3 linked regions of the Callithrix jacchus genome follow. The protein of the gene in region 3 interacts with the protein of the main gene of each other region in a pairwise test. Links are inferred from orthologs where the notes say so. Each region holds a gene or a part of one and is shown on either strand. Other genes may lie near its edges. The genes, in order: FABP1, MYOZ1 and FLNA.

What was found.
Region 1: the proteins of FLNA (region 3) and FABP1 interact in binary tests that used the Homo sapiens proteins (3 or more experiments, as listed by UniProt). The two-hybrid records come from large-scale screens. The link is inferred for Callithrix jacchus from reciprocal best matches to the Homo sapiens genes FLNA and FABP1.
Region 2: the proteins of FLNA (region 3) and MYOZ1 interact in binary tests that used the Homo sapiens proteins (3 or more experiments, as listed by UniProt). The link is inferred for Callithrix jacchus from reciprocal best matches to the Homo sapiens genes FLNA and MYOZ1.

The regions. Positions count from the first base shown.
Region 1 is NC_133515.1:26,008,581-26,011,463, reverse strand, and holds the end of FABP1 (fatty acid-binding protein, liver), read right to left. Parts: intron 2,127-2,883; coding exon 2,034-2,126; intron 674-2,033; coding exon 623-673; 3' UTR 550-622; downstream 1-549.
Region 2 is NC_133513.1:56,489,553-56,493,303, forward strand, and holds the start of MYOZ1 (myozenin-1), read left to right. Parts: upstream 1-1,073; 5' UTR 1,074-1,138; intron 1,139-3,076; 5' UTR 3,077-3,094; coding exon 3,095-3,167; intron 3,168-3,751. UniProt on the Homo sapiens protein: Myozenins may serve as intracellular binding proteins involved in linking Z-disk proteins such as alpha-actinin, gamma-filamin, TCAP/telethonin, LDB3/ZASP and localizing calcineurin signaling to the sarcomere.
Region 3 is NC_133524.1:150,165,208-150,168,958, forward strand, and holds the start of FLNA (filamin-A), read right to left. Parts: upstream 2,475-3,751; 5' UTR 2,349-2,474; intron 2,065-2,348; 5' UTR 1,971-2,064; intron 1,225-1,970; exon of another isoform or gene 1,002-1,224; intron 1-1,001. UniProt on the Homo sapiens protein: Promotes orthogonal branching of actin filaments and links actin filaments to membrane glycoproteins. Anchors various transmembrane proteins to the actin cytoskeleton and serves as a scaffold for a wide range of cytoplasmic signaling proteins.

The sequences.
Region 1 (2,883 bases), on a different chromosome or scaffold from region 3:
GGACTCCTCTGCTTCCTCTACCCTCTGCCCCTGCCCATAGCATGGAGAGAACCTCCACTGAGCCTCCTGTGTCCCCTTCTGGCACCTCTCACTAAGCCCCTTGCTCAGCCTCCTATAGGAGGAAAAGTTTATTTGGCGAGTCAGTGCCGACCTTTCTGCATCTGTCTGCCGGTGGGCTGGCACTGTGGCTGTGCTTGTGGCCAAGCCTTTTTGCCATAGCTCTCCTTTTCTGCCCAGTCTTCCTGCTCCCTGTCCCCACAGAGAGACAGCCTCCAGGCCAGCCCACTGCACATCCTCTGGCTCCAGCTCCTCGCCTGTGTGTCTGACTGGGAAAGGGCATTCCAGGACCTTCCTGCAAATCTAGCCACACCTGGCTGTCCTGGCAGGGACACATGAGTGGGCAGCGTGGGTTTTGTGTTTAGGGAATTACTCTTTGGACCTGACCTGGGAGTGTGGATCAGGTGGATTATCAACATTTATGAAAATATGGTTAGGAGAATGTGGTGACCAATAGCACCATTAATGAAAAGCCATAGAAAAGAAAAGACATTTTTTCAAAAAAACAAAGTTCACTTTATTATGTTAATTTTACACACTAAAATAATATGAAATGCAGACTTGTTTAAATTCTCTTGCTGATTCTCTTGAAGACAATGTCGCCCAATGTCAAGGTCTGAAAGCCAGAAAAGAAATTATGAAATGTTCATCTGATGTTGTATTGTTAAGAAAAATTAAGCTTAAAAAATAGCACCAGATATGTTGGCATATGAAACAATTCAAAAATTCGTCTGGTTTTCTGTAGGGCAGGAGGAAGGGTTGGCAATTTTTTCCAAAATCCTATGCCAAGTCTTTGTCACTTCTCCTCACCTGGAAAGTCCTCATGCCTTTTACTGAATTCTTTTCTACATCAACAGCTGTTATAGCAAGACCATCCAAACCAGCCCAATCCAATTTCTCAGTTTCATGAAGTACCTAGTATACACTGAATACATGTTGAACACCAAGGATATATGTACATGGACACAATGAGGCACACAGCCTGGAAGGCAGTGGGTAGTACATAATTGTCCTCCTAGAGCTGTGAAGCTTATAAAAACAGTGGATGCATCAGGTTTGTTTTTTAAGGATGTTCCCTCTGCCCCTGCCAATTCTCCTCAATAATTCTTCTGGAATGACTTACCATGTCATCAGGGTGAAAAGGAGCCCCTTAGCTTCAGCAGCAATGCAATGGTTGCTGCTCGATGGGTTCAAGCCCTGGGTCTATCATTTATTAGCTGATGACTTGGACAGGTCAACCTGTTTATTGAGTCCCTCATCCAGCCTCCCACAAGGAGACAGGAGGATTAGGTGAGATGGAGCCTATCAAAGGGCATTGGCCAGACTCACTACTGGACAGCTCATCTCCTGCTCCCCTGCTCTCCTGAGAATGTGATGGCGGTGAGCTGGAGACTACAGATTAGATGGGTGATGCTTACACTTTATCTAGTTTAAGAATTTTTCTGTTTGAACAGAATGATGACAGCTCCCTGAGGCAGGGTTCTGTTGTTTGTGACTCCCTAAAGCATATATTGGGGGCAAAGAAGAATCAGGGAGACATACCTGCAGGAGAAACACTGCACTGTTCATCCCCAAATAGGGGATAGGCTGTGGTGAGCAGCCAGGCACGAAGGCTGACTGAATAACTGGACTGTGCCAGGCCTGTAAGCTGCCATAATATCTCCGTGAATGGGATTCTTTTTATAAATGCTAAATGGGCAAAGGCATTTGTGAAGCACCCTGGGCATGCAGGGCAGGTGGAAGCCTCTGTGGCTGGTTGGTTAGTGCTGAGCAGAAGGGATTAGTGACAATGTGTGTAAACTCCCTGGGACATTATGGATCTGCAGTAAGTTATAGCAGATACTGACTGCAGGAAAGAAGTTTGAGGGCTGGAGGGTGGAGAGGTGGGATTAGGGTTTGTGAACTGCTCCCCGTCCTTCACCTTTCCTCTCCCCTCAAGCACTGGTAGCCACATGCTCAGAGCACCACCAACTTACACTGGTGATTATGTCGCCGTTGAGTTCGGTCACAGACTTGATGTTTTTGAAAGTTGTCACCAGTTTATTGCCACCTTCCATCTGAACCACTGCCTGCAGGAAACAGAGAGGCAGCCTGTGATAAAGAGGTGGTGGGGGGCAAGAGCCTTGCTAATGAAGTTGGTTCTTCTGCACAGGTCTCAGCTCATATCAACCAAAATGCTCTGGTTCCTATGCTCCCAAGCTTCCAGTTCTCTGGCTTTAAAGAGAAGTGAGGTGCATTTAAGAACTAAATAAAATGTCAGGACTTCTTTTGTCTTATGGCATGTAATCTAGAAATGAGCATGGAACACCTAAGTGGCCCCAAATACAAATGCTAAAATCAAATTGAGTGAAATCTCAATTCTCCCAAGCTAATGGAGGGAGCTAGTGGCAAAATTCAAAATATTGACCAGTAGAGAATACATATTTTCCTTTGGTATGTATTCTTCTTCTTTTCTTTTTTTTTTTGAATTGAGGTGGGGGTCTTGTTATGTTTCCCAGGCTGGTCTTAACCTCCTAGGCTCAAGCAGTCCTCCCACTTCGGCCTCCCAGAGTGCTGGGATTGTAGGCGTGAGCCACCATACCCAACCAGGTATGTATTATTCTTTCCGGAATGTTAATCTCTCCTATTGTGGCCTCCTTCCAAGCCCTTATACATTCCGGAAGAGATGACATAGGTATACATCAGGGAGCATAAGACTCTGGACAATGTTAAACATTTTGCCTCCAAAAAGAAAATTTGGAAAAGGCCCATGGTTAAATCCCTTGACCATGAGCACATCAAGACAATTTTCCTCCTAGAATCATCCTGACCTGTAATGTTCTAATT
Region 2 (3,751 bases), on a different chromosome or scaffold from region 3:
AGCTGGTTCCAGAATCTAAGGAGAAGGTGGAGGAAGATCATGCAGCTACTGAGGAAGAGGCTGGGCAAATAATAGGCTTTCCCCAAGGGGACTCTCAAGCTTGTACCCCTGTCCAGAGACTCTGCTGGAACAGTACGAATGGCACAGTCCAAATCCTATGTGGTATGTACTCCCTTTGAAGGAAATCTCAAGTAGAAACCTCAGAGAACAAGGCCCTGGCAGGTCAGAGGCCTACATGTGCTTCTCACGGAGATACTAATGTCTATCCTGCACAGCAGGTTGAACTGAGCATCTCAATAGCAAATGGAGGTTTAAAGGCAGATCCTGGCTACCCGGGAGGCGGAGATTGCAGTGGAGATGGTGCCATTGCACTCTAGCCCAGGCAACAAAAAAAGGCAGATCCAAGTGTTTGTCTTTTCTTAAAACTGCCAGAGTTCAAGAGGAAAGAAGAGAGAGTGAAGCAGATAGAATAATTGTCAAGTCTTCCCCACATCATCCCTGCCTAGGAGGTACTGGGTTTGGTTAATTTGGTCCCTTAACCTGCCAAAATCTAGCCCCCGCAGAGAAAAGACCAACCTATTCAGGAAGTTTAAAAGAGCAGTTCCATTGTGAAGACTTCCCTTCTTGTCCCTAAACATAGTACTTTAAGCCCTCCCTGCCCCAAATACACCCACAGGTCCTTCCACTGTGCCCTGGATTGGCTCTGTATGGCCCTCAGGGCATGTTCCCCAGGCTCGCTCTCTCTGACAGGATTCCTATCCGATACTTGTTGTCTACTTCCTGTCTCCCTCTTATTCTCCTAAGTGCTTCTTTGGATCTCAGGCTCTAGGTGCAATGTGAAGGGGAGTCCCTGGGCAGAGTGATCCCTGGCTCAGAAAGCTCAGTGGGAGAATCCCAAAGGCCTTCTCCCTCCTTCCTGAGCCCCTGGGCAAGGAGGCAGGGATCTTGGTTCCAGGGTCTCAGTACCCCCTGTGCCATTTGAGCTGCTTGCGCTCATCATCTCTATTAATAACCAACCTCCCTCCCCCACTGCCAGTGCTGCCCCCACGCCTGCCCAGCTCATGTTCTCCGGTCACAGCAGCTCAGTCCTCCAAAGCTGTTGGACCCCAGGGAGAGCTGACCACCGCCCGAGCAGCCGGTAAGTCTCCAGCTCTATCGTTAGAGAGGCTGGGGCCCACTCTGTTGACTTCTGTATCTGTGTCTACAATTGTGATTCTTGATCCTGGAGGAGTCTCCCCTCTCATCTATGCTCAGCTCCCAGCTGTCCAGTTCAGGGGAGCCACCGAAAGTTGGAAGGAGAGGGGCCCAGGAGGTTGCGGGGAATGGAGATGTCAGGAGGCACTGGAAGAATGGGAAGGGAGACCCCACTAAGTCAGTAGAGTTGCAGATGCATATTTGTGACAGGGCTCAACAGAGGCTCAACAGCATTTCACTAAGTGCCAATTTCTCTTTAAGAAGGGATAGGAGTCTATCTTATCTCAGCTTGTCCCTTTCCATTGCCAGATCCTATTACTATGTTTCTGCCCACCTCAATTCCCCACTGCTGTGATATTGCTGAATTGATGTGTGTTGGGATTTGAATGCTCCCTACCCTCCCCAATTCCACACCCCTCTCCACTCTGGGGTCTGGGGCGGGAGTGACTGTGGGAGCAGGGCCATGACTTCCCAGGCCATGTTCCAGCTGGCCTGATGAAGGAGCAACAACCTCTCCTTCCTATGGAGAGTGTTTTTGGCTGAATCTCCTCAACCCTGGCAGAACATTTCTCTGTCCTCCTTGGGACTGGGGGAAGACTGAGGAGAGATCAGAGCCTGGAATCACAGCCCCAGTCTGATATCCCAATGCAAATAAAAACTTCAAATTATGCCAAGCTGATGAAACCTGGGTGCATTGCCCTGCCTGTATTATTGTTTTTTGAACACTCTCCACCTCAGTGATGTTCCTAATTCCTGCACCGACTCTATAAAAAACAGCTCACAACAGGTTGGTAGAAGATGGGGGCTGGTGTACATCTGTACTTCCTGTCCTCCATCCCAAGAAAAGAGAAGCCCTAAAGCAGCAGGTTTTCACCTTTTGAGGGAATACATACTTCTTTGAAAATCTGGGTTGGGTGAGATGGCTCACACCTGTAATCTTAGCACTTTGAGAGGTGAGAGGATTGCTTGAGCCCAGAAATTTGAGACCAGCCTAGGCAATATGGCAAAACCCCATCTCTACAAAAAACACAAAAATTGGCTGGGCGTGGTGGCTCACACCTGTAATCCCAGCACTTTGGGAGGCTGAGGTGTGTGGATCACCTGAGGTCAGGAGTTCAAGACCAGCCTGACCAATGGAGAAAGCCCATCTCTACTAAAAATACAAAAAATTAGCTTGGTGTGGTGGTGCGTGCCTGTAATTCCAGCTACTCAGGAGGCTGAAGCAGGAGAATCGCTTGAACCCAGGAGGCAGAGGTTGCAGTGAGCCAAGATCATGCCATTGCACTCCAGCCTGGGCAACAAGAGCAAAACTCCATCTCAAAACAAACCAAAAACTAGCAAGGCATGGTGGTTCACACCTAAACTTGCAGCTCTATGGGAAACTGAGGTTAGAGGATCACCTGAGCCGAGGGAGATTGAGGCTGCAGTGAGTCATGATTGTGCTGTTGCACTCCAGCCTGAATGACAGAGTGAGATCCTATCTCTAAAGAAAAAAAAAAAAATTTATCCCCTCAAGCCGTTAAACCCAGGTTAAGATGTAGTGCTCTCGGCCAGGTGTTGTGGCCTGTAATCCCAGCACTTTGAGAGGTCAGGAGTTTGAGACCAGCCTGGCCAACATGGTGAAACCCCGTCTCTACTGAAAATACAAAAATTAGCTGGACATGGGGGTGGGTGCCTGTAATCCCAGATAGGAGGCTGAGGCAGGAGACTTGTTTGAACCCTGGAGGCTGAGGTTGCAGTGAACTGAGATCGTGACATTGCATTCCAGCCTGGGCAACAGAATGAGACTCCATCTCAAAAAAAAAAGTTAGTGCTCTCCTATAGACACTCACTCTTCCTGGTCCCTGTCTATCCTCCAACTCCTCCTTCCCACCCTATCCAGGCTGAATCCACCTCCACAATGCCGCTCTCAGGAACCCCAGCCCCTAATAAGAAGAGGAAATCCAGCAAGTTGATCATGGAACTCACTGGAGGTAGGACATGTTTGCATCTACCTAGTGTGGGACTTCTTAAAAGCGTCCCTAACCTAAGAGTCCCAGAAATATGTATCTTAGGTTGAGCAGACAAGAGGAATTCCAGTGGTGGGAATATGGATGATGGGGAGTGGGAGCGGGAAGGGTAAGAAGAGTAGGGAGAAAGAAAGAAAAGATTCAATATCTTCAGCTGGGAGCAGTGAAGTGGCTCCCACCTGTAATCCCAGAACTTTGGGAGGCTGAGGGGGCAGACCACGAGGTCAGGAGTTCCAGACTAGCCTGACCAACAAGATGAAACCCTGACTCTACTAAAAATACAAAAAAATTGGCCGGGTACGGTGGCTCACGCCTGTAATCCCAGCACTTTGGGAGCCCGAGGTGGGTGGATCAAGAAATCGAGAACATCCTGGTCAACGTGGTGAAACCCCGTCTCTACTAAAAATACAAAAAATTAGCTGGGCATGGTGGTGCATGCCTGTAATCCCAGCTACTTGGGAGGCTGAGGCAGGTTGCGGTGAGCTGAGATCGCGCCATTGCACTCCAGCCTGGGTAACACGAGCGAAACTCCGTCTCAAAAAAAAAAA
Region 3 (3,751 bases):
CACCTGGGAGGAAATGGGGCACTGGGCTAGGAGGTCGCCGGCACTCCAGTAGCAAGCAGCCTTCGAAGGGGCCAGGGCCTGCCAACGGGTACGCCAGTGGGCTCGGGCAGAGGGCGCTGTGCAATGCTTGTAGAGATTACCTGTGCCCGCCTAACCCTTGATGCCGTTCACCCGGGGCACTTGTGGGGGCTGAATTGGGGCGTCCTCTCCGGTCGGAATGACCCCTGAGCCCAGCGTGGCCAGGCAAGGGGCAGACGGGAATGGCATTCTAGACCTAGAGGGGGCTGGGTGGGTTTCAGGTGTGGTGGCAGGTGCAGAGGAGGCCTGGGGGATTGTGTCCCCCAGATCAGTGGGGACTATTCACCCAAAATTTTCTGGTAGATAACTCGAGATGGTGCAGAGGCTGCTGTGCTGAGATGGAGACCGGAGCCAGGGGACTGTTGGGGACGCTGACTGCTAACCTCTTCAGTCAGAAGAAGCCAGACTGCCTATGGCTTCCTCTCCAGCTCTGCACTCCCTCCCTCTTAGTCCTGGGTACATCCTGTCTCCGGAATGTTTCCTCCTTTATGTGTTTTTTTTCTAGGAAGGCAGGTCTGTGTTCCTTCTGCTCAATTCTAGTAATAATTAATTTATCTGCTAAAGACCAGTGAGAGGAGGAGGCCTTGGGTTGGCCACCACGTCATGCCCAAATATGGTTGGCTATCCTGTCGAACTGGGTGTCCACAAGACATGTGGTGGGGCTGTGGTCCGCCCAGCACATTCACTTCGGGGCTGCCTGTGGCCCCACTGGTTTTTCCCACTAGTGGTGGTGGTAGGGTGGGCAAATGGCATTTTCCAGTACCAAGGCCAACCCCTGTAAATTGGCCCCTCTCCTGATCACTTGGAGACACACCTGCACCAAGTGCACCTCCGCGTCTGGGAGCTGGGGTGGAGGTGGGAGGGGGGCTGGGAAGGGGGATGCCATACAGACGCCTCCCTCCCAGGCCCCATTCAAGACTGACTTGAAGTTGTCCTTCCGGTCCCCCTGTCCCGCTGGAAAGCAAGTTCCCAGGCATGGAATTCCATCAAGAAGTGACTCTCCACTAAGGGCCATTGAGCTGGGTTGTCTGGGCTCATTCCTTAATCTTCAGAGCTCAAGGAAACTGAGTCAGAGTGACCAGGAGTCAACTGCAGCAGAAAGGGTGTCAGGAGGTGGGTGTCCTGTCTTCCAGCCCTAGCTTTTCCCTATTTAGAGGAAACAAGGAATGGGCGTGTAGAGGGTACTTGTCCCTAGGAGGACATAGCATTACCACCAGATGTCGCCCAATCCCAAAGCCCCCAGATCCGGCAGCCCTGGGAAGCCAAAATCCAGCTCTTTCATATTTTCCCTTATTTGGAGTAGATTCTTGGATGCTAGACACACCCCGCCCACCACACTACCCCTGGCCCTCAGACCCAAGGGCAGACTCTCCCACTGGGAGGTAGAGCCCAAGCCCAGAGGCTGTTCAGTTGGATCCCTAAGGAGCCGTTTCCAGGCCTGCGTAGCCAGGGGGCGCCGGAGGGAAGGAAGCCGGATTGGCAAGGTGAGAAGAAACCTGTGCTGGCAAGTCCAGGTTCGGCAGGTGAGGTCGCTCGTTCCCAAGCTCCCACCTTGACAGTGCAGTTTGGACCACTTACAAATGGGTCTGCCAGTGGATTTTCACCTACTTTGGCCCCAGGTGGCATGGGAATCTGGGGACATTGTTGGTCTCATCCTGGCTGGCGGTGCGAATCCAGCTCAGAGCCAGCCTGTGATAGGGCCTAGGGCCCAGCCAAGGAACCTAGCCTGGCCTCATCCTCACCGTGGCCCTGATGGAGTACAGCAGCCCCAGAGCCAGCTCCCCTGTGCCCAAAGCAGCTGGTGCCCTGTGGACTCGATCCAGCAAGGCACATGCTGTCCCCCTCCCAGTGGGCACACTGGCTAAGAAGTGTTCTTCTAGGTGGCCACTCACCCTAAGTCCACACAAGTTCCTGTTGTCAGGGCCCTTCTCTCTCAGATAGGCATGCAGTGGTCCGTTCATGGGCACCCATGCAGTCGCCAGTCTCCTGCCAAGTGCCCAGACACCCTGTCTCTCGGGGACCCCCATGGCCTCAGGCTCCCACACTCGTGGGCACAGACATGGCTCGTGGGTCAACTAGGGGAGACATTCTCTGGACACCCACTCCCAGATGCCAGAGGCGCCTCCATCGGCTCACGCACCCCAGCAGAACCTGGCCAGGACCTGGGTGCGAGCTGGAGCCTGACTTCTCCCGCCTCTCTGCCCGCCTTCTCCAATCTCGCCCTCGACCGACCAAGAGCGCGGCGACCCTACCGGCCGCGGAGACCTCACCTGCTGTCCCTGAGGGTGACCGGTGACCGGTGACCGCGGGGTGGCGCCCGGATCGCTTTCGCGCCCGCGCCAGGCGCCTCGGGGTTCCGTCGGCGTCCGCTGCGTGCCGCGCGCCTCCACGCGAATGGGCCGCCGTCGCTGCCCGCCTTCTTGTTGGCTGCACCCCCGCCCCGCGCCCGCCCCGCGCCCGCCCCGGCCTGGCGAGAAAGCCTTAATTGGTAAAATTGCCCAGGAGCCTGGGACGGGTGCGGGAGGGAGGGTGCGGGGGCGCGCCTTTAGCTCCAGCGACCCGCTGCCAGGAGACACCGCCCCTCTAGATGAGCTCACCGCCACTGAGGGCCGCCAGGCCCTGGGGGAGGGGGGACTTAGCGGGGAGTCGCCTCCAGCGCCCGCAGGGTCTGCAGGGCCCACGTCTAGGCCCAATCACAAGGATGCTGTATGTCTGAGTCTGGGGGAGCCAAGCACACCCCAGGTGGAAAAGCCCAGGACCAAGGCCACCTTCTCCAAGGAGCCACCCACAATCACAGCCCCACCGGGATCGTGTCCCCTGGGGTGGGGGCAACAGGTTGTTGCAGGTGTTTGCTGGGTACCTACCTCAGCCAAGGGCTCCAAGCCCTGGGATGAACCCGACTGCCACAGATCCGGCCCTGCCAGGTCTGGCCTGGGGTGGGCAGCAGAAACAGCACGGCTCAGGGGCAGTCCCAGAGCGTGGGGGTGTGCAGCAGAGTGCAGCTAAAGAGCCAAGTGTCTGTGAACATGGTGGCCACAGCCACGCCCTGGCACTGCTAGGCTCTCTCTTCCTTTTCTACAGGCCCATTTCCTGGTAGTTTCAGATTCAGCTCAAATGTCACTTCCTTGGGGAAAGCGGCATCAGGCAGTGCTGTGTAACATCTTGCCCACGACCCCGAATAAGAACTACAGTTGCCACCGTGACCTCCTGAAACAAAAGTTTTACAAAACGATACTTTTCCTTACTACCTGCAAAGAGTAGGCTGCTATTTTCAATTCTATTCCAAACAGGGAAGGCCCGAAGGGAGGGAGGGAAGGAGGCAGGGAGGGAGGGAGTCTGGTGGCACCTGCTAAGTTAGTTCTGCAGCCCCAGTTTAACACTGTGGCAAGGCATTGGTTGCCCTCTCTGTCTTGCTGCCTGTGCTGCCCCGAGGAAACCTCCCAACAGTCAGGTCCAGGGTCTCGTCTCTAGCCGCTCCATTCAGTGTGTGTGCCCCGATAGGGAGGCCACTTGCTAGATGAGAAGCCTGAGCTCAGGCCCAATAGGTAGCTGTACTGGGGTTCACAGCCAAGGCTATCCCTCAAGGCACTGTACCAGGTGAAAGGAGCATGAAAGAGGAAGTGGCTGCTTGGCTCCATCTCAAGAGCCTATGTTTGAACCCTTTCTTTGCACT